Arabidopsis thaliana: one gene and its partners. The protein of the gene in region 4 interacts with the protein of the main gene of each other region in a pairwise test. Each region holds a gene or a part of one and is shown on either strand. Other genes may lie near its edges. The genes, in order: NAC097, BZIP60, BIM2 and TINY2.

Evidence for each region.
Region 1: the proteins of TINY2 (region 4) and NAC097 interact in a two-hybrid assay, tested with the Arabidopsis thaliana proteins (one large-scale study listed by BioGRID).
Region 2: the proteins of TINY2 (region 4) and BZIP60 interact in a two-hybrid assay, tested with the Arabidopsis thaliana proteins (one large-scale study listed by BioGRID).
Region 3: the proteins of TINY2 (region 4) and BIM2 interact in a two-hybrid assay, tested with the Arabidopsis thaliana proteins (one large-scale study listed by BioGRID).

Annotation. Positions count from the first base shown.
Region 1 is NC_003076.8:20,675,121-20,682,291, reverse strand, and holds NAC097 (NAC domain containing protein 97), read right to left. Parts: upstream 3,071-7,171; 5' UTR 3,068-3,070; coding exon 2,881-3,067; intron 2,855-2,880; exon of another isoform or gene 2,819-2,854; coding exon of another isoform or gene 2,779-2,818; coding exon 2,507-2,778; intron 2,409-2,506; coding exon 2,286-2,408; 3' UTR 2,018-2,285; downstream 1-2,017. Other genes in the region: TIM8 (translocase inner membrane subunit 8), read left to right, coding at 5,787-5,834, 6,232-6,417.
Region 2 is NC_003070.9:16,133,628-16,141,431, reverse strand, and holds BZIP60 (basic region/leucine zipper motif 60), read left to right. Parts: upstream 1-3,968; 5' UTR 3,969-3,972; coding exon 3,973-4,409; intron 4,410-4,919; coding exon 4,920-5,370; 3' UTR 5,371-5,709; downstream 5,710-7,804. Other genes in the region: AT1G43000 (PLATZ transcription factor family protein), read right to left, coding at 1-25, 111-326, 431-634, 715-717; AT1G42980 (Actin-binding FH2 (formin homology 2) family protein), read right to left, coding at 5,976-6,106, 6,191-6,248, 6,329-6,397, 6,469-6,585, 6,670-6,717, 6,828-6,904, 7,008-7,071, 7,365-7,496 and 2 more. UniProt on the Arabidopsis thaliana protein: Transcription factor involved in the unfolded protein response (UPR). Acts during endoplasmic reticulum stress (ER) by activating unfolded protein response (UPR) target genes via direct binding to the UPR element (UPRE).
Region 3 is NC_003070.9:25,939,863-25,948,767, forward strand, and holds BIM2 (BES1-interacting Myc-like protein 2), read left to right. Parts: upstream 1-1,766; 5' UTR 1,767-1,941; coding exon 1,942-2,047; intron 2,048-2,217; coding exon 2,218-2,302; intron 2,303-2,563; coding exon 2,564-2,633; intron 2,634-2,716; coding exon 2,717-2,812; intron 2,813-2,948; coding exon 2,949-3,310; intron 3,311-3,437; coding exon 3,438-3,567; intron 3,568-3,650; coding exon 3,651-3,737; 3' UTR 3,738-4,086; coding exon of another isoform or gene 4,087-4,285; 3' UTR 4,286-4,381; downstream 4,382-8,905. Other genes in the region: MGP3 (male gametophyte defective 3), read right to left, coding at 132-893; AT1G69020 (Prolyl oligopeptidase family protein), read right to left, coding at 4,087-4,285, 4,382-4,575, 4,664-4,880, 4,997-5,421, 5,550-5,669, 5,758-6,099, 6,193-6,337, 6,429-6,651 and 2 more; AT1G69030 (BSD domain-containing protein), read right to left, coding at 7,567-7,608, 7,704-7,768, 7,855-8,039, 8,525-8,622, 8,754-8,860. UniProt on the Arabidopsis thaliana protein: Positive brassinosteroid-signaling protein.
Region 4 is NC_003076.8:3,725,293-3,732,696, forward strand, and holds TINY2 (Integrase-type DNA-binding superfamily protein), read right to left. Parts: upstream 3,435-7,404; 5' UTR 3,208-3,434; coding exon 2,497-3,207; 3' UTR 2,161-2,496; downstream 1-2,160.

The DNA of each region.
Region 1 (7,171 bases), about 17 Mb from region 4:
AGGATTAAAAAGTCAAATACTAATTTAATTAATTAAATTTAATTAAAAAACGAAATACATTATTAATTTTCAAAAATAATAACCAATCAAGATCAACATATAAGATTTGATATTTAAATTTTAATTAATTTAATTAAATTTAAAAAAATACATTATTAATTTCCAAAAAAGTAACCTATTAAAATCAACAAATTAGATTTTATATCTAAATTATCATATTAATTTTTTATTAATTATTATAGTTCACTTCTCATCTTTATATGATTCTATTTTTGCGAAAAAATAATATCATCATTATAAAAAAAAAATTAGAGTTTTTTCGCATATGCCATAATTTAAATTTTTAAAAACAAATATAAACTGTTCAATACATGAAAAAATATTATAAAGGGTGAAAAATAGATTTAAGAAAACTTTCTACTGAGTAACGGGTCATAATTTGAAATATTTATATTCAATTTCATACATATTATATTGAAAATTTATAATCTTATATACTATAATAATTAATAACATATTAGATTTTTTTATGTGTATGATGTGATTCAATTTTTAATACAAGCTGGAAAATCCTAGAATTGACGGGTTTAGATCGATATTAATACAAGATGGTATACTACATGTGAAACTCTTAAATTAACAATTAAACTACAAGTGTCTAATTATAAACACTAAACAATATACATAATATCAACAAAACATATACAACTCACAGTTTACTATACATTTAAAATCAAATAAAATAATATCATATATTTTTAAATCATCTTTACAATAAAAGTTTTTAGTTTAACTAAAATATAAGCCTACCTGCGGTATACTGCAGGTTAATATCTAGATTATAAGGTTTATTGGATCTAAAGACGGGTCATCAAAGATTTCCTAAACTGAAGCAAAATATACTGAATACTCAAATATCTATCTGTTACCAAATTATAAACAAATAAGTTCGTAAAACAATTTAATATTTTATATATATAATCAATTAAATCTTAATCACATAAAAATTAGCACAAAAAAAAGTATTCAACAATTAAAAAATTATCAAATCTCTGTGTTATATAAGTTTTGATACTATATTCGAATAAAGTGTAATATACCTTTTCAATTTGTATTCTTTAACTAATTTAAGCTAACTAATATATTTGCTAATCTTTTACCTATCAAAACCGACTATCGTTTCTTATCTCTATAGTATTTTTGCAAGACTTTTTTGGTGGATTTGGGTAAAAGTGCATTCGGGTCATATGGTACATTCCCCTATTAAATAAATATGGTGTACTCCTATTTATTAGCTAAAATGTTTAGATTATAATTCAGAGTCATATCATTAATAAAATTAATATTAATAAAATAAATGGCTTTTTGGCAAGACAGATTTGGAGTGACGGGTTTTTGAATCAACATTAATAAAAAAGTAAAATATAATTAATCCACCGTTTCAATACTGGTTAAATATTTAATTTATTATTTTTTAAGACCACTAATATTAAACATATCAAATCATCCTAATTTAGAAAAGATTATATAAAACCGAAAATATTATGTAGTATGTATAATGTTACTATATATAAAATTAAACTATAAAATATAAATGTATTAGAGAATGATATAATTTGCAAAACTTTTATATATAAAAATAATTCTTAAATTTTAAAAATTACTTTTTTAAAAAAAAATCACGGGACGGGTAAAGAAATTATACAACAGGTTTTATTTTGGAATTGGATTATATGGTGGATGTATTTGAATCAATATTTATAAAATTTTAAAATATTATTAATATGCTGTTTTAATAGGGGTTACAACTTCAGTTTTTTAAAAATTGTCTCATGGATTCGTGGTATAGCGTTACTTAATAATAATTATAAACTGTAAAATATAAATATTTTATAAAAATAAAATTTGCAAATTTTAATATATATTACTTTTAAAAAATAAATCGTCCCGCGGTATATCGCGGATTAAAATCTAGTTGTATTTATATTGTGGGAAGACCTCCTCATGTGATGTTGGATGGATTGGTCTAACGGACCACTAATAATATATATATATATATAATTGGACAAGAACAAAATAAAACGGGAGAGTGAAAGCAACTTGTGGCATCTTTCACCACATCCTCAATTACATTCCATTCCATTCCAAAGGGCTTGGAAGACAATAAGACAAATCATGCATATATATTTCATTTAGATGTTCCCTAATATCCTAACAATAGTAACTAAATTCAAACGATTCACCACAAAACCAAGTACATATATTTATGGCATCAACCTCGGTCGTCACCGGCTTTGAATAACTTCCTCGCCATCAGACTCGTCAGACTCGTGCTCATCCTCCACCATCTCTTCATCATTCTCTTCCTTCACTACGACTTTCACCGCCCTCCATTTTCCTACCTCACCCTTTAAAACCCAAAACATTGATATAGTTAGCTCTAAACTATTACTTACAACAAAAATATATGTTATAGAAAAAGATAAAAGTCCAATGAGTGACTCACCCGAGGTAGAGGGGACGATGACCACCTTGTAGCTCTAGAGGAAAGAAGTCGGAACTCGTACATGATCCATGGAGTTATTGTCCCTCGAGGTTTTTTTCCAATAAAGAAAGCAAATGTCTTTCTCCTTCCTTCTAAATGAATACAATCACGACCACCAGCCTCCATTACTTCCTCTTCTTCACACTCTTCCCAATAACCGGATAACGTCTCTCTTCCCTTCCTCTCTCGCTCTTCCTTCTTCACGAAGTAATACACTTCCTTGTTCTTCTCTCCTACAACAAAAGTGTACGTACAACATTCACTAAACCACATTTTTCAATACATTTGACGTGATATGGTATAGTAATTATTAGAGAGAAGAGTTTGTAGCAAACCTAGCAAGTCCCATGGATCAACATTGCAAGAACGGAGCTCAGGGAGATCGAAGTCCATTGGACGGTGGAGGACCTTCTTGGCGAGATACTCGAACACAAGATCTTCATCATCGGGATCGAACCGAAACCCGGGAGGGAGTCTCATGCTTCTTCCGTTCATGGCAAATCTCTGCGCAGAAATGTCCATTGCTTTCTTATGAGTATCCTTTGTGTTTGGTTTAGGTTGTTTATATATACTTATGAGTGTGTCACCTTTAGTTTGGCAAAAGCGGATTCTGCTTTTCCTTTAGATACTTTTTACGTACTACTATTAATTTCAAGAGATAAATAGATAAAAAAAAATTGATAACTGCAAATTCAGAGATCGTAGATTGGTTTCATTTTTGTTTATTTAAATGCGAGGATCATCATAACAAATTGTGGTGCATGTACCCATGCAGTCAACGTTGTTAAGGTTTTGAATATAGCGAGTATTCAAAAATATCTTTATTTTTTTGGTAAAGATAATCTAGTTCCTTTTTCGTTTTCCTGGGCAAAGGTAATTATTTATTTTTTCAACCAAAACGAAATAAACAAGATTTAAGTTCCAAAAGCCTAGATCCACGCTGATTCATTACCATATAAGTACATTCAACATCAATAACTAAAACGAGCACATTTCTAACAATTGGCCCAGAACTAATTTTAACATGCATTTGAAATTTTATTTTTCATAAGCCGATCGGTTAGCCCAGGTAAAAATACACGTAAGTGTTTAGAGTGGATTTAAACCCGAAAAATTACCACAGTGTTTATTCCAAATCTGAAATGTTTTCACACCGAAAAAGAAAACAAACCTTTATGTTAGGGACCTTACACATGTTTAGGGACTAGTGTATATATCATCCATGTAAAAATATCCATGCGACCCTTTTTTTTTCTTATAGTAATGTCGGAATGATATACGAATTATAGATATGAATGTACATAAATAAGCGAAAGTTTTGGACGTACGTTCAACCTATAATTTTGTAGTAAAATCATTTCTTGGTATAAATTTATACGTGGAAAAGGAAAACTTATATCATCGAGGAATCAAAATTTTCTTTGTCTTTATCATTTGGCAAGTGAAATAATAATGTCGGGATACAATACATTTTTAAAACAATAAATTTAAGTAAATATGCATAAGCAATGATTAAGAAATAAGAAAAATATAAGAAAGTATATTCAGAAAACAAAAGTGAATTTGAAAGAGAGTCCAAGTCGATCCCAACTTAAAGATTTGAGAAGCTGACTTAACGAGTAAGTTATTAGATGTTGGTCTGACTCAATTTTCTACTCTCATGCACTTCTTTAATTTCAATTATTTTAGATAAATTATTGTATATATGTGTGTCTTTGGACTGGTGACTTGCCTTTTATCCTTCCTTTTTTTCCTTGGATCAATAAAGCTCCCAAAGCCCCCACCAAACCAAAGTTGTTCCAATTTTTTGCTTCAACTTTCCAGCATCAGCCTTTGATTTTTACAAATAGCATTTTAGGTTTAGTCCTCTTTGTATAATGTTATGTTTTATACACTAGAAATAAAGGTTACATAATTTGTCTTTCGAAAGACTAAGAAAAGAAAATGAAATGGATTAAAGATGATTGTTTCATTGTTAAGGAATCGAGATTAGTTTAATTGGTTGGAACTTGGAAGAGAGTATTCATCAGCTTTCTTTTGCTGAATCTTAATTCGAATGCAACATGACTAGCTTATATTTGATAAATATTTTAAATTGTTAACATCTAGCTTTAATTCTAGTCCAAAATTTCTCTATATAATTTTCATGTGTTGAAAGTAGGCAAAGCTCTATTTGTTTTATATTCATAAAGGATATAGAAAAAGCTTTAAATTTGTCAATTTAGAATCATATGTCTTACTCCTCCCACGCAGCATTTTGGATTTGGTACTTTTCTTCACCTCGAAGATGTTGGCTTTCCATTTCCTTTATTTGTTTGTTTTCAATCTTCTTTTTACTTTAGATTTTGATGATTTAGCGACATTTCTTAAGCAACGACATACATAAATGAAAAGTTTCATTTCTTTATAACTTAGTGTTGTCAATTGATGGTTGATATTGATATGGTACAAGCACCATCTTCATGTTCAATTATTCTTTTTAACCATACATACACTTGAACGTAATTTTTTGATTGGTTCTCCAATGCAAAAAGAAAATAGTTTTAAAATAATGTCTTTGAATCTAGTTCTAATTGAATGGGTTTACCAAAGCATACTAAGTTAGTCAAGTAAGTTACTTTTCTTTCCTTTTTTTTTTTTTTTTTGAATACCAGGAGGTTTTGGGACGAAGCCCGTAATTCCCTTAGGTCCGAAATTTGTTCCAAGCGTCACTCGAACCGACGACCTCTAAACTTTAAAGTTAATCACAATGGAGATTGTAACATTTTGATTATCTTGGAGCAAATGAATTCTTAGAAGAATATTTGATATACACCACCAAAAAAATACATGAACTAGTCAACAAATAGCTGGGTGAACCGCCAGTTCCCGGTTCCATCAGAGTTTTAAAAAGTCCGGTTTTATGACTAGTTTAGACCCAAATGTGCCTGCTGGTTCCCTATTAAACCGGTCGGGTCCGGGTTTAAAATCACTGAGTCTACCCACCCTATATATCCGTACACTCGGCCCAGATCATGATCCATATTTAAATCAAACTTTTACATATTTGATCTCAATATGATTATTTAACTGTTGGGCTTTTAATGGGGGTTTTGGCCCAATAAGTAAGTAAGCGGCGTCTCTTGAACTTTATTGTAGCCTTTTGGGGTTTTTGAGAAAAGTTTTTAGGGTTTTCAGTCGCTGAGAACAATTTTCTTCTCCTTCTTCTTCTTCAAGCAGAGACGCTCTCAGCTCACCAGACATGGATCCTAGCATGGCAAACAACCCGGAATTGCTTCAATTCCTCGCCGTAAGTCTCCGATTTGTTTTTGATGAATGCTAATTAGTTCTTTCAATTTTAAAGCTTTTTAAGTCGATTCACATGGAAACTTGAGCATTTGGACAGCGAAATTATAAGTAGAAGCAGTGTTTTAAGTCCTGTCTGGATTCACAGAAACCATTTATTTGAATCTTCGTTGACGGGTCAAATTAACATTTCGATGCTTTAAACTTGAAAGATCTGATTTTTTTTTTCATGTGTGATTTAGTTGGTATGATTAGAATCAAGTTGAATTGAGATTTAGTGTACTAATATGTGTTTACAAGAATTGGGTTTATTAGGGTTTATGCAAAGTAATGATTTTTTTTTGTCTTGGGTTTATGTTTGGTGAATTGTAAGAGAATGTGGGTGTGTGTTTGTGTGGCAGCAAGAGAAAGAAAGAGCAATGGTGAACGAAATGGTGTCGAAGATGACAAGTGTGTGCTGGGACAAATGCATCACAAGCGCACCGGGAAGTAAGTTCAGCTCAAGCGAGAGTTCTTGCCTCACTCATTGTGCTCAACGCTACATGGATATGAGTATGATCATCATGAAACGCTTTAATTCGCAGTAAAATTGATTGGAGGATATCATACTTGTTGGAATTTTAATTTATCCTTTTTTTGTTTCTCTTGGCAAGTGTTGAAATCCCTTTTATTACTCTAGTGATCTTGCAAGAGTATTCTCGGATAAGTGTTTTAGGTGTTTCTTTATGGTTATGTGATTGAGATTGTTATTGATGGCTAGTAATATATTAAGAGACAAGTGTTGAATAATGTGGTTTTAATAAGGAGGGTTGTACAAGGGTTGGGTTGAAACAATGAAACTTGCTAAGTCACATAGAGATTGTGGTGAAATGGCACTTTACTTTGAAAAGTCACAAACCAAAAAACCTCGAGACACTGAGAGATCGTGAGAAAAAAAGAGTAAAGGCCTTCTTAAGGCTAGGAATTGTTTGGATTTATCACTGTTTTACTTTTAGCAATTAATTCAATCCAGTAAATTTCAATACATTCCAATTTGCCTCTACTTCTCGCTATAATGAATTGATTAGAGTACTGCCCAAAATGATTAATTTGGATGGAAGATGGGCCAGATCTAATTGTGGCAAGATGGGCTGAATCTATGAGAAAATAAAATAGGATGCAAAAATAAAGGTCCTACCGGGAGTCGAACCCAGGTCGCTGGATTCAAAGTCCAGAGTGCTAACCACTACACCATAGAACCTTTCTTGTACAGATCCACGTAATATACGTACTTATTAGTAATACTATCTGCAAATCTTTCCTCCGCCTCACGAAAATGCCAAAAAGAGCACTCTTATAGAA
Region 2 (7,804 bases), on a different chromosome or scaffold from region 4:
CCTCTCCATTCTTCACACCTTCAAGCTATTTTAGACCAATAAGAAACAATCAAGAAACCTATATAATCAAACTTGAGTTTGAAGAAAGACCACAACATTGCAGCATTTACCTTACAAGCAAGAGAACAGAACAGGAACGAATCGAGAAGGTTACGAGAACAGATCTGACATGTTTTGTTTAAGCTTTTACCAGTTCGACATTGAGGTCTCGCGTTTAAGAAGAAGATCTTAGCACTATTGATAACATAAGTCTGAATACAAGAGATATCAATATGTTTTTGAATCTCACTCACTCTCACCACATTATGATACGACGATCGTCGAATCTGTAACAACAACAAAAAAAAAACATAGAATTAGGTTCATTAAACAAACGTGTTCGACAAAATTCCTGAGAGATAGATGGGTAATGAAAAATTGAAAACCAAACCTGGATAACACGATGGGTTCTGTGATGAGCGAGACAAGAAGAACAAAAGGCATTGCCTGAACAATCCAAACAAAACAGATTACATTCACTTTTACTCGATTGTGAATGAATCGAACAAGTCACGAAGTAATCAGCTCGAAGCATTGGTGTTAGCCATGGCGGAGTCATTACGTCGTCGTTCTCCATTTTTACAATGGAACTCACCTGAAAATAACACAGACCCATGAATCAATTTCTATAAAATAACATCGATTGAAAAATTCTGAAAAAAACAGAGGAATAACCATTGTTTGGGTTTTGATCTGTTTGACACACGAAACTTAATCTGAGAAACAGAGAAAAAAACAGAGATGGTTACTGAGAAAATGGAGAATATAGCGGCCACAGGTTTGTGTGGGGGTTTACAGAGAGAAGACGAAGAAGAAGAAGAAGAAGAAGACGATGGAGAAATTTATAAGACACTGAAAAGGTCGGCCTTTTTTACTTTTTGTTACTTATTTTTATTTATATTTTCTTCCATATTGTTATAATAACTTTACATTTAGACTCTTTATTTATTTTATAATCTCAAAACCCCCTAGTTTTGTGAAAAAGAGCATTTTTTCTCATCAATTTTGCTTTGGTTTTATTTGGTTTGCTGTATTTAGATCTAGATTTTTATTTTGTTGTCATTTTATTTGGTAGATAATAAATTATTTGTTAAAATTAGTAAAATAAATATATTGACAACAGTTATCTTTTCTGACGCGTGTTAGATATAAGAAAAATAAAATTTATGTAAATAATGTGTTATTAATACCATGATTGACAAATGATTTACTAATTCTTATTGCTTGTGTGATTTTTTTTCATAGTACTCATGTTAATTACTTATCTTTTTATGTTATTATATATTATAATATTTTTACTTATAGGTCCTCTAGTTTTTTTATTTAACTAAAAGCCCCTGTTTTTCCAAAAAATGACTTTGATATAAAATAGCTATATAACATCAATTATATTTGGTAGATAATCCAACAAGAGTTAAAAGTGGTCAAATGATTTTAATGGAAATTATTATTTTTGACGCGTGTCAAAAAGAAAGTGATATTATATCAAATAATATAGTCAAACAAAATAGGAATATCTTCTTAAAACCGTTACGTGAAATCTATACTAAATTTAAAATAAATTTAAAAGAACTTGTGTGAGAAATGAACCACTATATGTACAAAATGTCATATATAGATTTTGATAATAAAATGTCATATATAAATTTTGATAATAAAAACCTAAAGTATAGTTAGGTAGTGATATTACTCATTTTATTTTTGTATAATACAAGCTAAATTTGGTTAAATATTTTTAAGAAAATTATTGCTTTTAACGCGTGTTAAAAAGAAATTTATACTATGTCAAATAATATATCATCAAATAAAATTTAAAATTAAGACATGTGAAATCAATACTAAAATTTAAAAAACGTGATGATAATTAGACTAGGACAATTACAACATTGCACAATTTATATAATTTGAGCTAGGCTAGAAAAAAGTGACTTTGAACTAGGTTTAAATCAAATTCACCTTGGTAGTAACAAAAGTAGAGTAAAACCAAGTAAAATAAATTCACGTTGAATTTAGTTTCCCTCGCTATCATGTTCTTCAAATTTTAAAGATGTTACTTAGGACGTTGGGGAAGTTATTTGAAGTTTGGTGAACAAGGAATTGTAGTACATGTGGTAAGTATTCCCGCTTACATACAAACAAAAAAGTAATATACAAAAGGAAATATATGCTTTACGTAGTTAAATAGCTTTGTTAGAGTCCTCTCTATTAGTTTAATTACAAAATTTGCAATCCTTATATTTCTTCATAGGTATTTAATTAGCATTATAAAAGAACTATATCATAGAAAATATACACTATTAACTTTCGATAAGTGACTTTATGAACCACGTCATTAGATCACAAGTCAGGTTAATACAATTGTCCTAAAATTATAATTAATGTAAATAATGTGTTACTAAAATTATAATTACTAATGCTATTATTGACAAGTTCGGTTGATAAGCAAGTCCAAAATCAAATCTCATCAATCAGACTTCTTGGGGACAAGAGATACGACCTCCAAATTTGGTTTTTGTCCAGAAGTTAAAACTAACATCATCTAGCTTTTTAATATTTCTATTGGTGTTTAAAACTTGTCTTCTATTCGTTTCTAATTGAAATTGCACTTTATCTACTTTTTTTAAAATATAATTTAACATTTTATTGAAAAATATATAATCATCAACTGCTTTTAATGTTAAACTACTTTTTAAGTACTTTTTGAAAAAGTGTAATTATTCACACAATCTTGAAATAATTTTCATCGTAAAACAATTTAATAGATGTTAATGTTGGAAATATATAAACATCAGGAATTTGAGGATGGATCTCTGTATACTCCTCATCCTCTGTATTATATTATTTAGATAGAGATTAATGATAATAAGCTACCAAACCATTAGCTAATTCACTATAGTAATATCTATTCCTATTTTAAGTTATGACTACAAAACATTAGCAAATAAACCTTAAATGAGTATGAAGAAAATAGTAAAATATATTTATTCTTTAAAATACATATAATAACAAAAATAAATTTAGAATTGATACAATTAAAGATAAATAATTAATAATAAATGTAAATCTTACATTAATTATTGAATGAACACATAGAAAATAATTAAATAATAACGTGACATTCATATGAAAATAGTAGATCAACTTTCACATATATAATTAGTTCACTCATCTGCTAGAGAACTGAAAATTTTACAAATTCATTCATGTGAGATTGAATGAAGATTAATCACTCATTTAAAATTGAATAAGGAAGATAATCCAGAATGTAACATAAATTGACAATATAATATATGATTTTAATTAACAAATTGATAACTTTCAAAGTCTAGAAGATGGTCACGAAGGAAGAAAAGTCCTCTCGGAGAACAAAGATTCAATCGTGGAAGATGTTGACGGTGACAAAGAGAAAAAGGGACTGAAGAATTTTGATTGATTTCTGAGAAATGGTCAAAGAAGCCTTGCTCTCCTTGGTCTCATTGTCCATCTCAACTACATGTACATCGTTTTGACTATAGCTAACTGGTTTACATAACTGTACCGAAAATAAGAAAATCAAACCAAGAGAAAAGAAGTGAATTAGAACCGAGTTATTAATCACACGAACACTTCACTGAGTACACGTGTTCGGCTGTGATCCTATTCTTCCAGCTTGAAGCCTTCTCATTGGTTGTGTGACGGCACATAAAAACAATAATCCTCTGCTAACAGAAACACTATAACACAGTACACTCCATCACATCATTGGCTAAAAATTCAAAAAACGCGTCCATAATCAACACGTGTCATGCTGACTCTTTTTCTACACATTTACTTGGTCGCAAAGAAATTTAGAAAAGTCTCAAACACAGTTCCTATATAACTCATCTCTCTTCCAATTTCTTAAATTAAATTCGCTTTTTTTTTTCTTCTTTGTATATTTTTTTTTTTTTGACCATGGCGGAGGAATTTGGAAGCATAGATTTACTCGGAGATGAAGATTTCTTCTTCGATTTCGATCCTTCAATCGTAATTGATTCTCTTCCGGCGGAGGATTTTCTTCAGTCTTCACCGGATTCATGGATCGGAGAAATCGAGAATCAATTGATGAACGATGAGAATCATCAAGAGGAGAGTTTTGTGGAATTGGATCAGCAATCGGTTTCAGATTTCATAGCGGATCTACTCGTTGATTATCCAACTAGCGATTCTGGCTCCGTTGATTTGGCGGCTGATAAAGTTCTAACCGTCGATTCTCCCGCCGCCGCTGATGATTCCGGGAAGGAGAATTCGGATTTGGTTGTTGAGAAGAAGTCTAATGATTCTGGTAGCGAGATTCATGATGATGATGACGAAGAAGGAGACGATGATGCTGTGGCTAAAAAACGAAGAAGGTATATCTAATTTTACTCTTGTTTGAAAAGTTAGGGTTTATGGATGGATTTTGTATGTTTGTGTTGATTTTGGTTTCATTAAGATTGTTAAAAGTGTGTTATGCTTTGAGAACAACATTGAGAACTAGGAGATACGTATGTGTAACAGTGAAGATTTGAGAAACGAGTGTTTAAATTTTGCTTGCGTATCTTGTGATATGTTCATGTTATTATGTTTATGTATGTGTGACGTTGAAGAGTTGATTGATTATGAGTGATGTTGATTTTTGTTTCATTTAGATTGCTATAAGTGTGTTATTGTTTTGATAACAACATTGAGAACTAATCATTTAAGTAAATGACTGTTTAAATTTTGGTTGCCTTTAATTATTGTTAATCTTGTGTTAATATTCATGAGCTGATTATGTTCAAACATAGGTATGTGTATTTTGGTTAACTTAAGATTGTTAAAGCCTTTTATGCTATGAAAAGAAACTGAGGTTTGATAATTGGGATGTGATTGTGGTTCAGGAGAGTAAGAAATAGAGATGCGGCGGTTAGATCGAGAGAGAGGAAGAAGGAATATGTACAAGATTTAGAGAAGAAGAGTAAGTATCTCGAAAGAGAATGCTTGAGACTAGGACGTATGCTTGAGTGCTTCGTTGCTGAAAACCAGTCTCTACGTTACTGTTTGCAAAAGGGTAATGGCAATAATACTACCATGATGTCGAAGCAGGAGTCTGCTGTGCTCTTGTTGGAATCCCTGCTGTTGGGTTCCCTGCTTTGGCTTCTGGGAGTAAACTTCATTTGCCTATTCCCTTATATGTCCCACACAAAGTGTTGCCTCCTACGTCCAGAACCAGAAAAGCTGGTTCTAAACGGGCTCGGGAGTAGTAGCAAACCGTCTTATACCGGCGTTAGTCGGAGATGTAAGGGTTCGAGGCCTAGGATGAAATACCAAATCTTAACCCTTGCGGCGTGACAACGCCTTTTTTAACTGCTTCTTTTGCGCATTTTGAGTTGTAGATGAGTGTCTTTTAGTTTTCTCTCTCTTGTTTTGTATTTCGCTGTTGAAAGTTTTCTGTCTAATATCGATAAGTTAACAGTGAATGTGGGTCTTATGGTTATGGATGATATCTATCTAATAATGCTTCTGCCTTTAAAATGTTGATTTTGAGGCATAACTTCAGGTAATATCACTTCTAATTACTAGATAACAATTCATTAGGTTGATTAACATTGATAAAGCTTTTCCTCATGCTAGTTTTTACATGTTTGCTTCATTTGACATTATCACAGTTTTTTTTTTTTTTTTTTTTGTCATCAGATATTATTTAGGGTTCAGACGAGCCAATCTTTGGGATTGTCACAGAGATTTTTGTTTGTAAAATGTTTGGTACGGATGCGTAGGCAGGTAAAAAAAAACGAACAGATAGTTTTATTAGAACAATGAAGATAAGGTAAAACTTCGAATTGTAAAAAAGTTCAAATATTTTCTAGTACATAAGCACTAGAGAAGAGATGATAGATAGTTTGCAGTTCCATCTAAGCAGCATAGAAGTTGTCGATGAAACTAGCTACGGTTCTTTAGAGGTTCCCATTTTGTTTGATGTTCATTTTTCTTTTCTCCAGTATCTCCTTCTCAGCCTCGGCTTGTCTTTCAATCTCCTCGCGAGACTTGTAGAACGTTTCCACGAAACGGGTCAGGATGTTGGTCGCTGCAGATAGGGAGAATAGCCAGAGTAGAAATGAGAACCGCGAAATGTAGACATGAGTACAATAGACAGTAGATGTGATGGTACCTTCCTTGAAGCGAACACCACTTGGATACTCAGCTATGTAGGAATTTACAAGTCCTCCCTGTGAGTTACAAAGTAAATATAGGTTTTGAGCATGATATACATGTCCTTCAAGGTCTAACCGAGAGTTATATAGGTTACCACTTCTGCGTATAAGATATTTAGCAACTGCTTGTCGCCGTCAATCGTACAAAGAAAATCATGCACCACCTAAAAACATGAAGATCGGATTAGAAGATGCTACAAAGACCTTTTCTTAACTCTTTATTCATGTGGCTTACGTTTCGGTAGCCCACAAAATTAGCACCATCATTTTCTGAAGCTAGGAACTCATCATTCACCTCTTCCTCGATGTCGAATAACTCTTGCATCTTATTAGTAATGGTTTCCAATTCAATCTGTAATTTTCAGCACAAGTAAAGGAGAGTTGGGAACTAGAGCAAAAGAAGCAACCATGAGTTATATCACAACAAAAAGCATACCCTCGATGCAGCTTCTAAGTGAACAAGGTCATTACCAAAATCCAGCAGCTTCGGCATTTTTTCACCAACAAGCTAAACCCGTAAGAAGATAGTTAAGACGTTAAGCAACTTACGCAAATTACCGCATTAACCATATGTTACACAAGAGTATTTGTTACCTTGCAAAAGTCATGCATCAAATACACATTATCACATAACTTAACAAGACTATCCAGTCCACACTCCACATTAGAACCTGCAACACACAACACAAGGCCCACTTACTACATCAACAAATAGATGCTACAAAATATTAAAAGTTATGAAAAATTGGAAATCAATACAACAATACATGATACCTCTTAGAACTTGCATTGTTAAACTTGTTTGCATAATCCGAAACAACTTCACAGATCCCGTTATCTAGTACATGAAATACGATTACTTAATTACCAAGATGGACATAGCTATATATATTACCATGCACAGAAAAATGTCACCCTCAGGTCCAGTTATTGGGCTGTTCAACTGCTCCAGTTAAAGAGGGTCTAATATAATTTTGACATTTTTCTTCAGAATTTAGACCCGTTTGTATTAAAAACAAATTAGAAAAGGCTCAAAAAATTTGAATTCTGTTTATATACATCATTTTTTTTTTTAAACTATTGAAAACTGAGCCCAATAATTAACTGAACCGGGTCTGTCTCTATGCATACCTCTTTAGTAGCAGCGATTATCGTATGCATCCACATTTTTAAGTCACTCACCCTGGAAGGATACTCAACCTTAAAAGCAAACACTCGTAATTTTGGTTCTATCCGCGGAACCATCATTAGTTCCCCGAAAATCTGTAACATTTGCATAGTTAGGGATCAAAGCACATATGATGAATAAATAACATTTATGGCTTTAAGAAGTGAAGCAAAACCTCTTCACACTTTCCAAGCACTTCCTTGTCACCACCAGCAGAATTCTGTAAACACAACATGAGTTAGCTTTAGAGTTCAGACGACCAGTTGAGATATTCGTAATTACGAAAATATTGTTGTAAAGATTACCCTTAACCGATCCATTTCTTCCTTGCTCCAACAGATTTTGATTAGATTTTTAATCTGGTCAATGATCACAGCTGAAGAATCCAAATCTAGAACTGCAT
Region 3 (8,905 bases), on a different chromosome or scaffold from region 4:
AAATACACAAACCATCAAACCAATATACACTTCATACCCCATGGGGACAAGGCAATATGTATCAATGACACATTCCTAGATTCACACATCATGAAATAGCATCAAAAGCAACAAGAGAAATTAAAACCCACCTCCTGCTCAACAGCTTCCCCGATCTGAGTAGCAGCATTCACTAGCTTAACAATGCCAACGCCTTCCGCATTAGTCATCAACAATCCCATCATCTTATGCATAGTGATAACAGCCATCTTATCAGCCGGTAACTGCTCCATAAAAGGCGCATACGGAATCTTCCCTTTCTTGATTTTAAAAGTATCAAGATCATCTTGAATAGCATTACGCACAGGCTCAAACCAGCCTAGAAACAAAGACTTCATATAAGGTAAATTCGGTGCAAGCTTCTGCTCACACATATCAGCTAGAATCTCTCTACACTCTCTCGCTGCTCTTTCCCATTCTTCAGTCTCCATTTTCACCTGTCTCTGCTTCAGCATATAGAACTTCTGTGCTCCCATTCCCGCAATGACTCTCTTTGGCGGTATAGCTGCAAGCCTAGCTTTTTTACGGATTCTCTCAGTTTCTTTCTCCATTTCCGTTATCAATTCATTAACTTCATCAGACCCAGAAGACTCATCTTCAGGATCAGTCGAATCAATAGCTTGCGCAGCTGTAGCATACCCTTCAAACACATAACATTGACCATGACGAAACGAGCTTAATCCACCCATTTCGTTGACTGGATTTATAGATAAACCATTTCTAACGCCACTGAGATTAACAGAAGACAGAATCCCACGGACTCTATTCACTGGATAATGAGTACCGGAGGAGCTAGAATCAGATAAAAACTTAACCTTTCTCAATGAAGCTCTTCCCAGAATGTTCCTCCACATTTTTTGAATCGTTTTTGTGATCGCCACGAAATGGTAATAGTGGCTGCTTCAGATAGTTTACTGCCTCCACGAGCACAATCTCGGGCTATGTAGCTACTTGATTTTGTAGAGTTATTAATACAAACATAGAAATCAAAGAGTTCAGATTCGAAGAACAGATTAAAAACAAGACTTGGGTGAAGAGAAGAGAGATCTGGAGAAAAGAGAAGGCGCCGTGAAGTACAAACACAGCCGCCGAAATAAACCCTTCATAAAACCTTTGGTTTCTGCTTCACATTTCATGGATCTTGTCAAACCCGACCCGCTTATCAGATCCGTTACGCTCTTATTTGGGCTCAAAGCCCATATTCTGGCACGAGTTATACATTACCATGATAAATATATACCTAATTAACATTACAACAACAAATCAGAGTGGCGCAGCGGAAGCGTGGTGGGCCCATAACCCACAGGTCCCAGGATCGAAACCTGGCTCTGATAGTATTGTTACTCTTTTTTTTTTTTTTGTAACTTTTGGGCTTAGCCCATGTCTGATAAATTCGAATAAGGTATAGTATTGTTTTGGAAACATAGGCATATGTTACTTCTTTTTTTCCTTTGTAAAGTTTGGGTTTGGCCCAAGTCTGATAATTCCATTCGGCCCTTTATAGTATTGTTTTGGAAACATAGCCATATGTCACCGTTCGATTAGAAACAAACATAGTACGTGAAAATTAACAGATCAGAAAGAGACCACGTGCATCACGTGACCACCTTAAATCTGATAGGTTAGAATCTCGTCTTATCACGTGAATCCCACGTGTCATCACAAGCTACGGTTCATTTAGAGGCCTAACCGGGTAATCACATCAAGTCGTACACGTCTCCAAATCACGAAACTGACGGACAAAAGCTCAAGTAAACTCACGTAGTCTCTCCCACAGCTAACTAGAACTCAGCCGAGTCACGAGGCACCCAAAAAACAAAAAACAAATAAGCAACAAAAAAGAGCTCGTCGACGGCAAAAGTTGAAAATAAAACAATAAACAGTCGAAATTCTCCGGCGAAGATGAGAACCGGAAAAGGAAATCAAGAGGAAGAAGATTACGGAGAAGAAGACTTTAACTCTAAACGTGAAGGTCCTTCTTCCAACACTACTGTTCATAGCAACAGAGGTAAATTGTTCGATTTGGGAGACTTTTGAATTTTTCTTAGTTGTTGTTTCGTCAATTTGTGTTTTGGTTGGAGCTATTGTTGATATGTATCGAGATGGATTTGAATAGTTTGGGATTAGATTTTTCTAAGTTTTGTCTCTGTGTGATTCGGTGTTTGATTTTGAAAGCAGATTCAAAGGAAAATGATAAAGCTAGTGCGATACGTTCTAAACATTCGGTCACTGAGCAACGTAGAAGAAGCAAAATCAATGAAAGGTATGTTGATATAAAGTGAGGATTTCAAACTTTTTGGATTGTTGTTTTTGTGAGAACTTGAGATTAGGAGTAAACGCGACATTCTTTGTTTTGATATCTGAATCAAAATTCAATTACTTTGCTAACAAAATCATAAGAATACTTAGGACTTGTGTTTGGGAATTTTGCTCTGCTTCAGTTTTGTGGTGTTTGATATAGGACTTAGTTACATTATAATTATTGTTCTTGTTCTGAGTGCTGAATTCATAAATCTCTTCTCAGATTTCAGATATTGAGAGAACTAATTCCCAACAGTGAACAAAAACGTGACACTGCTTCATTCCTTTTAGAGGTATGTCATGGTATTTGATGATGCTTTGTGCGAATATCCTGTCTTTTAGATGTTGTTAGCTTAATACCGCTATTCCATTCTAGGTGATAGATTATGTTCAGTATTTACAAGAGAAGGTGCAAAAGTATGAAGGATCGTATCCAGGTTGGAGTCAGGAACCAACAAAGTTGACGCCATGGGTAAAGTTTTGAGCTTCTTCTTATGTCGGTTTCTCAATGAGTTTCTGTGATTGTAGATTCTGAGTATGTTTTTGCACCCGCAAGGCTTTCTTTGTGTGACTTTTAGCTGAAGGTTATGTTTTCTTGATTGGAACAGAGGAATAATCATTGGCGAGTTCAAAGTTTGGGGAACCACCCAGTAGCTATAAATAATGGATCTGGTCCAGGGATACCTTTTCCTGGAAAGTTTGAAGACAACACTGTGACTTCGACACCTGCAATTATTGCAGAACCGCAAATCCCGATTGAATCTGACAAAGCAAGAGCTATAACCGGCATATCGATTGAAAGTCAACCTGAGTTAGACGACAAAGGATTACCACCACTACAACCAATTCTTCCAATGGTACAAGGCGAACAAGCTAATGAATGTCCTGCAACTAGTGATGGGCTAGGCCAAAGTAATGACCTGGTTATTGAAGGTGGAACCATTAGCATCTCTAGTGCCTACTCGCATGAGTGAGTCTGATCTTCTAAGTCTTCCTCGTTTCTGTTACTGTGCTGCCATTGATGTGTTCGCTTCTACCCTTTTTTTTTAACTGCATTGTGTACTAATCTTGTGAGACATTAATTCTGAAATGGCCAGGTTATTGAGCTCATTAACACAAGCACTCCAGAATGCAGGCATTGATCTGTCGCAAGCAAAGCTTTCTGTGCAGATCGATCTTGGGAAGCGAGCCAATCAAGGTCTAACTCATGAAGAGCCATCAAGTAAGGTAAATAGTTGGTTCGAAATGCTTCATACTTAGTTTTGTAACAATAGCCATATATCATGATGTTGATACATTTTTCTATACAGAATCCATTATCATATGATACGCAAGGAAGGGATTCAAGCGTTGAGGAAGAATCTGAACATTCTCACAAGCGGATGAAAACACTGTGACATTTCTCTCTCAGGCTCCACGGCGCTGGAATATATAAATGTATTGACAGATTCCTTGTATCGTGTACATTGTTCGGCTTCTAGGGGTTCCTATAGTACTCGTTAAGATAAACTTTGGTTAGTAGATTCTGCGTTTTTTTGTGGTTCTGAGTTTGTATCATCTTCTGCATCATTCATGTAACCTATCAAATATGATCTCTTGTGGTTTCAAGTTATTGCATCATTTTTTTCCGATTTGATCTTCCTTTTTTGTTGAGAGAGCGAGATCAAAGGCTAGCAATCTCTTAACCTTAAAGTGAAAGACTATTATAAAATCATTTGATGCTAAACCAAAGATGATGTGATGCTTTTATCTATTGTTGTGATGACCCATAACTTTGAGAAGAAAAGCATAATCAAAGGCAGTCTCTTCGCATTGAGCATAGCGACCACCTTCACCAAAATGCCCTCCGTTCATATTTGTTTTCAGAATCACAGCTCGGGAGCAGTCGTGGCACGTACTATCCCTTATCTTAGCCACCCATTTTGCACCTTCCCATACTCCAACCCTGACCCAATAACACACGCAAACTATGATCCAAAGATTCTTACTTAAAACAAAAAAGAGATATGGGTTTAAGGGTTCTTTTGTGAAGCTAGCTTGCCTTGAGTCATGAAACGAAGTAGTGACAAGCATGGACGGATAGCAAACATCTTTTCGTATCTTATCATATGGAGAATAGCTAAGGATCGATCCGAAGTCAGTTTGGTTGTCTGGGTTCCCGAATTCTTCATGGTCCAGGAGTGTGAGAGGTAAATTTGGATCCGATAATGTGTTTAATACATCTACAAAAGGAACCTGCCCAAATGGTACACACCTTAATGATTTGAGCTTTTGATTATTCTGGACACAACTTAATGCATTTGCTATGCCATAATATTCTTACCTTCAAAATCACAGCTTGAAATAGACTCGGGTGCATATTCATAGCTGCAGCTGGAAGAATAGCTCCTGCACTGTACCCAACAGCAGCAAGATGATGTCTATGCACATAGCCTTTTTCGACTAGATATTTAGCACTGTATATGAAATCTTGGATTGAATTTTGTTTCAACGATCTAGTTCCGGATTTGTGCCATGAAAACTCCCCACTGCCTCCTCCCCTGAGGCCAAAATAAAACTCTTATAGAAGCACATTCAAATCAACCACTATTATACCAAGTGATGTCAACTTGAAGCAAATGATAATTGAATGCTTTGGTTATGTTTAGTGACTGACCTCACATCAGCAAAAGCAATCACCCAACCACGATCAAGCATACTCAATCGATTTGTGCACCAGCTTTTGTCCAAAACTTCTCCATAAGCGCCATAACCTATCAACATTCCCGGTGACTCACTCTTCTTCCATGCTTCTCGTGAATACAGAATTGTAAGAGGGACTTCAACTCCGTCATGTGAAGAAACTTCTTGTCTTTCACAAACATATGTATCAGATAAGTCCTCCCATTTAGGCATTCGAGAATCTAACTGACCATCTTCTCCCTCGCTGGTTCTATCATTAAGTTGACCGTTATTCTCTGTAGAGCGATCTGCTGTGTACCATGGCTTACTACTATCAGAATTATCTACAACCCCTCCCTCCTGCTGCACAATTGAGAACAATCTTCTTGACACGTCATAGTCAACGATAGTGTCAGGAATCTGCAATTCCAACAATAACAGTAAGATATTCAGAGAAAGTATCAGAGTAGAAAGAAAAATTCAAATGCAAATAAACTATGTTATGGTTCAAAGCTAAAACAAATAGAGAAACCCGTTTCTTTATTTACCACAGGAGACGAAAGCACCACTCGGTATATAGAGCTCTGGAAGTCGTGGTTTGAACCAGGGGCAACACTGCATGAATCAACTGGAAGTGGAAAATACCAGGGAACAAGATCATCCATATGCTGCACAAATGAAACATACTTTAGTGAAAATGTATGAACGCAAAGCGACAGAGAAAAAACATACAACTGCAATACTAATCAGAAATACCTTCGTATTTGCTTTTATGGGCATATCAATGGAACAGAGCATAGGTAAGCCTTTCTTATTAAGATAAAGCACTAAGTAGTCATTGAACATGTCCATATCTTGTATAACCACATCATCATCTGGACGGAAAACAGTCTGCCAGTCAGATGCTTCAATTTCCTCTACTAAGCATCTAGTCAAATAGTAGCCTTCACCAGACCACTCACTAATTGCATTTGAGGGAGAATTTGTAAGAATGTAAAAGAACCCATTGTGATGTTCAAGAAAACACTGCACGCCAGGAACTCGTTCGCGAGTTCTTTGCAAACCAGCCATTGGCTTATCAGCATTTACAATATAAACCTGAAAACAAGATAACTCAGCTTGAGCCTAAAGTATATCGATGATAGACACTAAGAAAACAAAAACAAAAATGCAGTTGAAAGAGGTAAATTCCTCGGATGAAGTCCTTGAGTTTGAATTGATAGTAACAAACTTGCCATCTTTTGTGGTCGTTATGTCTACACAGAAACTGGAATCTCTTTCGGTAAACACTACGGCATCATCTCTCCCATCTGATTCAACATTTGTGACAACAACCCTGCAAAAACTAGTCGCAGTTGAACAAACACTCTCCAAGTTTAATAAAATTAAAAAGCTATCTATCTACTAGTATGAGTCACTGTATTTGCCTGTGAGGTCTTTGGTTTTCATCTGTAACAGTGTAAAACAAGGTGATTCCATCTAAAGCCCATGCCAAGCTAACAACTCCATCAACTTCCAACCTCGGAACTAACCGATCAGTTCTTAAATCCTTAATCTGGAGAATGAAACGCTCACCTCCTTCGGGATCAACCGTGTACGCCAGATAGTTATGATCAGGTGAAACCCGACAAACTCCAACATGAACATAACCTGAAGTAGTACACATAACACTTGCTTAGAGACTGACGATGACTCTAAAACTAACAATGAAACATTATACTAAAGGAATGAACTTTTACCAAACTGCTCTGCAATTTGATTCCAGTCAAGCACAACTTCTTCTTCTTCTCCACGAAAAAGACCAGAGAGCCAATTTGTTTTACCCTTCTCCAATCTCCTACATAGAAGAGGATACTCTTTTCCTTTGGGTATGTATTGTCTATATAACCTGCTCAATAGACAACTTAAACCAAATCAATCAAAAAGCTCACTCCTTTATACTCGTATCAGAGAAAGTTACAAGATTAGAGAGATGAACCATTGTCCCCAACGCTCAGGAGGAGTGAAAATCTCTTCTGGAATACGAGTTTTCATCTCGGAGAATAAATCACGCCTCAGGGTTTCTGTGTCAGCCATGAAAGCTTGAGAGTATGAGTTCTCACGCTTGAGGAAGTCGACGAAATCGGTGTCGTCCGTATTCTTCATCCAATGGAAAGGATCTTGTCTTGTGATCCCATGAGATGAGATTGCGAATGGGATCTTCTTTGGAACCGGAGGAGCTTCCGTTGGAACAGAGAGTGATGATGTTCGTCCAACAAAACATTTCGTCGAGAAAGACAAAACTGATGATATTGTCGCCGGCTTGTAACGCCGGAGAAGATATGTTACTGCCATTAGCAAACTTTAACCTCTCCAGCGACTAATATTTATGTCAAAGTTTCGCTTTTTAGGATAATTTTGTAATCAAAGTCTGTTTTTTTATAATTTGCGAATTCGAATGAATAAAATGTGTCTTCATCTTTTGCATCAAAAGCTATACACTGAATCACTGATGATGAAACAGATCATATACCATCCTCATTTACTTCCCAACAATTGGGTATGTAACAAAACTTAATAATATTTCTAATTTTTTGCTGCATTTGATTCTTTCTCTTCCTCAACATCCTGCAAACACGTGAAGGCAGATTTGGATTAAACCAAGATGTTCTGTTGTTGTATGTTTTAAAGAACTGAGAGAATAATCAAACGTTTTCACTTACAGAGTTGCCAATCTTGTCAAAGTCATCATCACCCAGGCTTCCTCCATCATCACCATCACCATCATCTGCAAGTTTTACGATTATACAGACAAAATCAGGATTTAAGTCATAGCTAAAACTTGGGAAGCTACATCAAGTCAAGGTGTCTCACCAGGAGCTTCGTCACTGTCTTCTAGATCTCCCAGCAGGAATGTATCGAGATCTTGCTCAGACGATGCAGTAGATATTCTGTTCTTTTCAGCTGATTCTGTCCTTCCAAGCCCTGGACTCTTCTTAGCTTCTTCATCTTTACTCTCTGCTTTGTTCCTAAGTTCCTCCATGTACTTCCTTTCATATCTGATTCAAAACAAATCCTTTCCGCTTAATTCATGCAGCTATCAAGTCTCATAAGAATGAAAGACAAGGGTGCTCAATTCACTAATCACTTCTCAGAAATACACAAACAACTAAGGTGTCAAGATCTTCTATATGTTTTCAGTCATGTTCCTTTGTTTTTTATATTCTCATTTGTGAGTTACATGGTTTTCCGAGATATACTGGACCAAGCTAGAGGCAGAATAGATGATTTGCAGCCACAAGAGAATTCACTAAGACTGTCTCTGGATCAAATCCGTGCTGATAAGGTATAATCCATTTCCCATATAATTACGTATGGTTTCATTTTACCAAACTTAAGCTGCAGTGATTAAGCTATGAGACTACCTAGTCATACAAATATAGAGATCTTAAGCTATCTTTACCACCTCCTATGCGCTTAATGCAATTCTCAGTCTAGTGTCGATAACATTTTCAGACTTTGAGAAGAGATGGTAGATCCTTACGGTGCAACATGAGTGCTCACTAAGGTAAAGTATATCCTCCAGAACCTCCTTTCTTTCATAACTCGTGGGCATAGTTCATATCTCAACTTCGAAATTTGCTGCAACATACACAAAATGCAAAATCAAACAATGTAGCACAGAAGAGATGAATCTATAACTAAACCAATTATGCAAGATCAGCTTCTCCAACTAATCAAACTAATTCCAATCTCAAATTCGAAAAATCTACCTTGACAGAACCAAGAACAAGAGTGGCATGTCTCTCCTGCCACTCAGAAAGATCCTTCCGAACATTCGACGCACTTGTTTCCAAATCAGAAACTTCCGACGATTCATCTAATCCACATTTACCATAACACATTTCAAATCCTCAATTCCAAA
Region 4 (7,404 bases):
ACGAAGAATTATCTCACTCGGGGTCGGAACTCTGATTGCTGAGTCAAATTTTTATATAGTTGTATATTTTGTTCATGCTTTTACTATTGATCATAGATTTGCTAAAAGAACGTGGAATTAAGCGCTGCTAAAATCCATTAATCCGTTAATAATATCCACCAGAAAAAAAAAAAAAGATACTATATAAAAGGCAATGTAAACATGAAACAGCTAGAGAGAAAAAAAAACACGTAACAACTAATTAACTGTTATACAATGTCATTTTTTCACTCTATACATTGACTAAAAAAATGGAATATTATATATAAAAATCATGATATATAATTAACAGATAAGAATATGAATCATTGTTCCATGTCCCACCCTCTCGTAAGAAAGTCTTAAGGTGTAAATCCAAAATCTTTAATATGTTTTAAACGGTGTCAGTGACATCATTACTGTATTTGTTTGGTAAATGGTAACAACAGTCTCTATCTTTATCTTTAACCAGAAAAAGACACTAGTCTTTATCCTGGACGAAGCTTGTCGTTGTATATCTTATTATAAACAAGATATCATGTTGTAATCTACAAAAACTTTTGGAGTTTGCAAACTATTAGACACATTTTACATTTTATTAAAGAGATCAGCATAATTGATATGTAACCTCAAGTAGCATAACAATGACTAAGACAGTTTAATTTCATGGATATTCCACTTTAGACCAAGTAGTTTATGGATCATCACATCTCTTTTTCATGATTATAATTATCCTAAAAACGAGATGTTGGAAGTTAAAAAGATATGCCTGTGACAGGACTAAATATGTCATATTATGATCATTCGTCATTCTTGTCATATAGATTCAAATAAATATTAAGCTAGCCTACATTTATTTTAGGGGTAATTACTTTTTCGTGTCAACTAGTTCCTTTTAGTTTTTTAAGCTACATTTACATTTCGTCTTTCGAAAATAACATTCTCATTTTGCTTTAACAGAATTACCCTTGAATTAATTTGTCTTTTTAAACATTGGACGTTAAAAAATAAAAATGTCGATGGATGCTGTTCACATTTGTAGAGTAATAATTAACGGACATTCTCAGTTCGAAAACTTTTAACAAACTTTCAACACTTTTCAAAATTTCTTGTTTATTATTGTAGTATATATTTCCAATAATATCACTATAAACTTTAGTTCTTTAGAAACTTTTTCAGTAAGTTTTATTTCTTTCACACGTTTTTAGAAACTTTAAACTTTCATAAGTTTCTCATGTAAAACATTGCAAGTCGTTTTCATCATTCAGTGATAGTTTTCAATTTTTTTTGTGTGAATAAAAAAATAAATCTAAATCTTAGATGACAAAATCTAAACTCTAGCTCCAAATGATCATCTTATATCTTGAGAACAAAAAAAATCATAAACCCTAATACCAAAATCTTAAATCCTATTTAGCTTCTTAATTTAAGCACAAGCAAATAGTGACGCCACAACGGTGGTGGTACGACAAAAGTTCGGCTATAAAGAAAATTGGATGTGGAGACATAAAATGAAGAGAGGAGGAACTCCCTTTAGGGATCCAAGTTATATGTGGAAATTAAATAGATGCTCATTCATTTTAATATTAATCTATTTCTTGATATATACATTCTTTTTTATTTGATGATCATTATGAAATTTTGATAAATTAGTCTTTAATCTTAACATATCGTAGAATAAGAACACAAACAAAAAAAAGTCATCTGTGGAGCTGGCTAATCAGATCTGAATTTATCATAAGCCTTTCTCTTTTTAATTCTAAAATAGAACGAGTTGTATGATATTTGTGTGGCCTATATTGTCTAACAAATTTTTTAAAGTGGGAAATTATGGTCATTAACATACTAATAGATGATAATAAAGTATTGCATGGATGTACATATGTGGCTGTGTATTGTTTGCGTCAGCTTGGACAAGTTGCTCTTGCTTTGTGTTTTCCCTCATTTTTTACCCTAACTCACATTCTCCGTTCCATTTATGTCGACAAAACAAAAATGAATGGGATAGTGAGACTCTAATTTACAATTAATGGTTAAAGATATTTCCTATAATTTTAAAAAAAAAACTTTTTTTGTCAAAGAAAACAAAAACAAAAACATTGAACAGTTTTTTAAATTTTGATGATTTGCATTATTACAATATCATAAAGTTAGTGGACTTTTATTTATCGCTTATTCATTTGATGATACTTACAAAAAAATCACTTTATTTTCCCTTCTTTTCCGACAAAAAAACCCGATATTTATATATTACAAAAAAAAAACACAAATAGAGTTTTGTACACGTATCATTATGGAGCTCACACCCGCTCCAAAAAAAAAAAAAAAAAAAACCTTTCTTAGCTAACACCAAAAAACTCAAAAAAAAAACAAAAACAGCAAAGGGTTTTAAAAACGTGATTAAACAAAACATTATGGCAATGATACAAAATAAACTGTTTTAAACAAAACATTATGGTAATGATACAAAATAAACTGTTAGAGATCCCATGACAAGCCATGGCCAAAATTAGGGCTAATTCCGTGACCATAGTTATCTTCGGACGACTGTCCCCACGGCGGCGGATATAAACAGTAGTCAACTGAGTCATAGAAGACAAACTCGTTCCCAAGGTTAGCCGAGTCGACGTCGTAACTCGCCCCGAGACTTGGAAGCTCCACAATCTCACCGAGCTCCTCCGACTCAGTCCTCGAGAGGTCCATCACCAACACAAGAGACTCGAGCGAAGACGTAGAAGACAAAGACGACGACGAAGACGTGGAAGATGAAAACGACGTCGTCGGTTCCATGTGAGCTGCTTTAAGAGCTGCTGTCTGAATGTCTCGAGGGCTTAATGAAACGGGTCGAGGGAATGAGTCAGCGAGTTCAGGGAAGTTTAGTATAGCGGCCGTTCCTTTAATGCTCAGAGCCGCCACGTCGTGTGCACGCGCCGCCATCTCCGGCGTCGGGAAAGTTCCCAGCCAAATACGTGATTTCTTCCTCGGCTCACGAATCTCCGACACCCATTTTCCCCAGTTCCTCATCCTTACTCCGCGATAAACAGGGTGTTTACCGGAGTCTCTCCCACGTTTAGTCTTCTTCTCGCTTTGCTCAGCTTTGCTTTTGTCACTCACTGAGTCAGACTCCGAGTTAGGGACAAGAAGCTGAGTTACTCTCTCCGAGCGGAGGCTGTAGTATTCCTCTGCCATTGTGTTAGCTTAGGCACAAGTATCGTACAAGTCTATTATTCTGATTGCTTTTTTCGATTCGGATCCCGAGATTAATGCAAATAAAAAGAAATAGCTAGGCTTCAGGGGGAAAAATATATAAGTTTGAGAACTATTCAAAATGAGGAAAAAAAACAGGGCAGTGAAGTGTGATGAAGAAATGAGAGAGAAACTTTGATATGAGAAGAGAAAAATGTTGGTAAAATTTTGGCTATCATTTCTCAGTCACTCAAAATATTTATATATGCATTAATATATTTGGGTACGGGTTAGAAGAGAGGGAATGGGACCAAAAACAATGCAATAAGTCTAATTGAATAAAGGAAATGGACCCAGTGGCTCCATTTATTTTTGTTTTTCTCACAGACCCACTCTATTTCTATATTGTGAATATATTGTTATTAGTATAAAACGACACACTTGGGGTCACTGTTTGCTTTAATATTTTTCCCGGTTCTTAAAATCTCATTATGCAACTAAATTAGGAAAACAAAATACTTTTCAGTATATTAAAAGATTATGAGACGACCATATTTAGAAGGGCAGTGTTGAAAAGAGATTTTGTCTCGGCCGGGTACGTAAATTATATGAAAGTTGTCTCCGAGATGAACATGATGAGACAAGCCTTTTTTGTTTTGTGTGGTAAGATAATTTTCACCTCAGTTTTACTGTTTAATTATCCTTTACCTTGATCTTCGACTCATTGGATCATACATTCCTATTTACATATTGGTATATATATATGCTCATCATGTGAAGGCAATATGTATCCACATATATGATATGCCATAATTGCAATTTAGTTTTGATCAGAATTAATATACATATTATTTACACGGATATAGAGTTATTGTCTTTCAAATTTTGATTTTCTATAAACATATTATATGAATGTCAACAGTTTTTGAAGATTTATTCAGGAAATTTTTTTAGTAAGTATCATATGTTTACTTTAGTTATATATATCGAGGGCTAATTAAAGGAACTTGTCTTAACCAATAAACCATATGCTTCGAGGCTAAATTTTAAATTTTGGAGAAATTTGTAACTGAGTGTTTTTTTTCGAGACACCAAATGGTGTGTGATTAATTGCACAATTTGTACTGATTTCATTTGAGAGGATATTTTATACTTAGACTTGAAAAGGTGTACTAAAGGGGGTTTAACCGTAAGTAAATTGATAATTAATACCTCTGTCCTGGTCTTAGAAAATATATGGGCGTAAGACCCATAAAAGAAAGAAATCTACCAGCCAATTGATATTAATTAGGTTAAAGTTGCTTCCAAACTAAAAAAAAAAGCCCCCAAAATTAGAGGTACAATATTGCAAATAAAGAAAAGAAGTTTGTAGAGGAAACTTCAAGAAATTTTAAGGGACAATAACTTGTTCAATCATGGGGTCGTATTTGCGTACCTATAAGGAAGGACGAGTGTCTGTCAAATATACACATACACTAAAGTCTTTTAATAATCATGCCAAAAAAATGTCTCTTAATGACGAAAAAATAATGTCTCTTAATAATCATTTTGGATTTTTCACAAGTAATAGCAATGTCTAAGTACTTGCAATGAAGAGAATTGTTTGTATTTTCGCCTCTCGTTTCAGCAATACGTATATGCATTTTATATTGATCATATACGTAATACTAATTAACAATAATATTGATCATCTTAAGTTTACTAAAAAAAAAAAAAAACTGGTCAACAAAGGTTTTAGAGTTTACAAGTTTCTAATTCAAAAATTATTGACATGAATATATTGACTCTTGCTTTATATTTATCCTAGTTAAACAGATTTTATGTGAGATTCTTACAAGTCTATTTAAGACGAGAACGAAAATAGTTTAATTGTTTTGAAAATATTGTTAGAACACGAGAACAGTTTATGAAATCAATCGGATTACAAAACCATTAAATAATTTTGAAACCTCTATTTAAAAGTCAAAACTAACTAGTAATGAATGAAAAAATAGAAAAAAAGAAAAATTATTCACTATATTTCAAAATATAAGATGTTTTAATTAAAAAAGAACTTTTTTTTATTTTTAAAACCTTTATTTTATATTTGATTTAATAAAATTCAACTAATAATATAAAATACTGCATAATATAAATGGTCACAAATAACAAATATATTTAAATTATCTATAAACTTGGAAAACATCTTGTAATATGAAACCAAATAAAATGTCTAAAACATCTTAGATTTTATCAGCTATAAAGGATTTAATTTTTTTTTGGGTAAGGATCTTTAAAGGATTTTAATTATGCTATTTGCCTTCGTATCCGTTATTCCATTTTACAAGATTGTTCAAGCTTCTTTTTACTCATTTCAGACACTGACCATTAATGAAGACCTTCGCAATAAACGAAGCAGACCCACTTGTAAATAGAGGGGAAAAAACATCTTTATGTAATTTACTTTATTTTATTTTTGGTCAATTTTATTTGTGTTTATTTAGGCAGACAAAACCAAATATCTATATCTTCCGACTATGGTTTTATTAGGCAAAATAAAATAAAATAAAATACAGAGACTATAAAGGCGATTTTTTTTCAAAGGGTCCAAAATAAGCCTTTTGGAAATAGAACTTTTCATCTTCTTCTTCTTTCTTTTTTATACAGGAAAGAGACATGTTCTTGGTTTGTGTTCTCGTCATTTGGTAAGATTTTAGAGATATATAGTACGGTCAAAGAACGTTAAATAAAAAGAAAAGGGGTCAAAGAACGTTAACAAACAAACATTATAGGGTCTGAGTTCAATTATTATACAATCTCTGGTATTTTCTTACGATTTTGTGAACTCTTTTTTTTTTTTTTTTTTTTAACGATTTTGTCATAATTTGTATTGGATAGATCTGTGATGGAATTTTATTTAGTTTTACAGAAAATCAAGCCAAGTCTGTTAAACAAATTTTTTCTCAATTTTTGAATATTAAATTTTTCAACTGCAACATTTTTTTACAAAATGTACACTGATATTTTCCCATTTATTTTACCACCTCACATCATTTTTTTTTTTTTTTTTTACGTTTCTGATAAGGCATAATAATATTTTGTAAGTTTCTTACAGTTTATTTCACCCGTTTCTATCACGTAAGTTGTCCTATCGTTAGACCATCCCAACTACAAAAACTAAAGTGATAGTAGATGGAATACTAATTAGACTTGAGGTGGCTTAATTAATTTTACGGAGGTATACATTGTGTTGTTTTCAGACGAAAACACATTTATATTGAAGTTAGAGAATATACATATATATGCTCTCCAGATTCTTCTCTGACGAATAAGCATAGAATTAAATTGAAGTTAATATCATATGGTGTGTAGTTTTATTCCCTATTCAACATATATATGTATCACTATCTTGTGTATGTTCCATTGAGAGACAAAAATTGACAGACAGAGAAAAATAAGACACGTCGAGATGTAGGACATTTACTCTTAACATGTTTTTGCTTTAGAGAGTATAGTACTAGTCAACGAAACACGCAAATGATTGTCATTATGACCCATAAAAATCTTGAATTGCTAAAAGTATTCTAATTAATCAAATATTGGTCGATGAAACATGGAAAACGATATTAATCTGCTTCGCTATCTTTGTTGATTTAACAACGTAATATATGCTGATGAAAAATACAAAAACGTACGGTATCAGTTAATTAGTTCAAAACCCCTCTTTGTATCATTGCGGTCGTTATCGTATCATATTTTGGATTCGACCTTGATAATACGTGTCAGCTATTTCATTTTAGATTGGGACTGACAAAAATAATTAAGAATCATGACTCGTTGTCATGAAGATTTTACATAAATTTAAGATTTTATTGGTTTTAGAATAAATGAATTTAGTATAATGTACAAATTTGTTGAAAAATCTAAAACACCGACACGACTGTGTGATGGAGATAATAGGAACATTAGCCCGAATACGACGATTATACGACCAATTGTCACGCGAGCTTAGCAATATTGGTTAATTCAGATGAATTAGCACGAAATTATTTGATAAGTAAAATCAAAATCAAGTGCACGCAGTTACGAATCTTGGTGGTCAATTAAATAACGGAATACATAAGATATTTTTCATTTACTCTACAGAAAATTATACACTCATGATTCCCTATAATGGAAGAGAAAAACAGTCGACAAAAAAAATAACCTACATCATATACA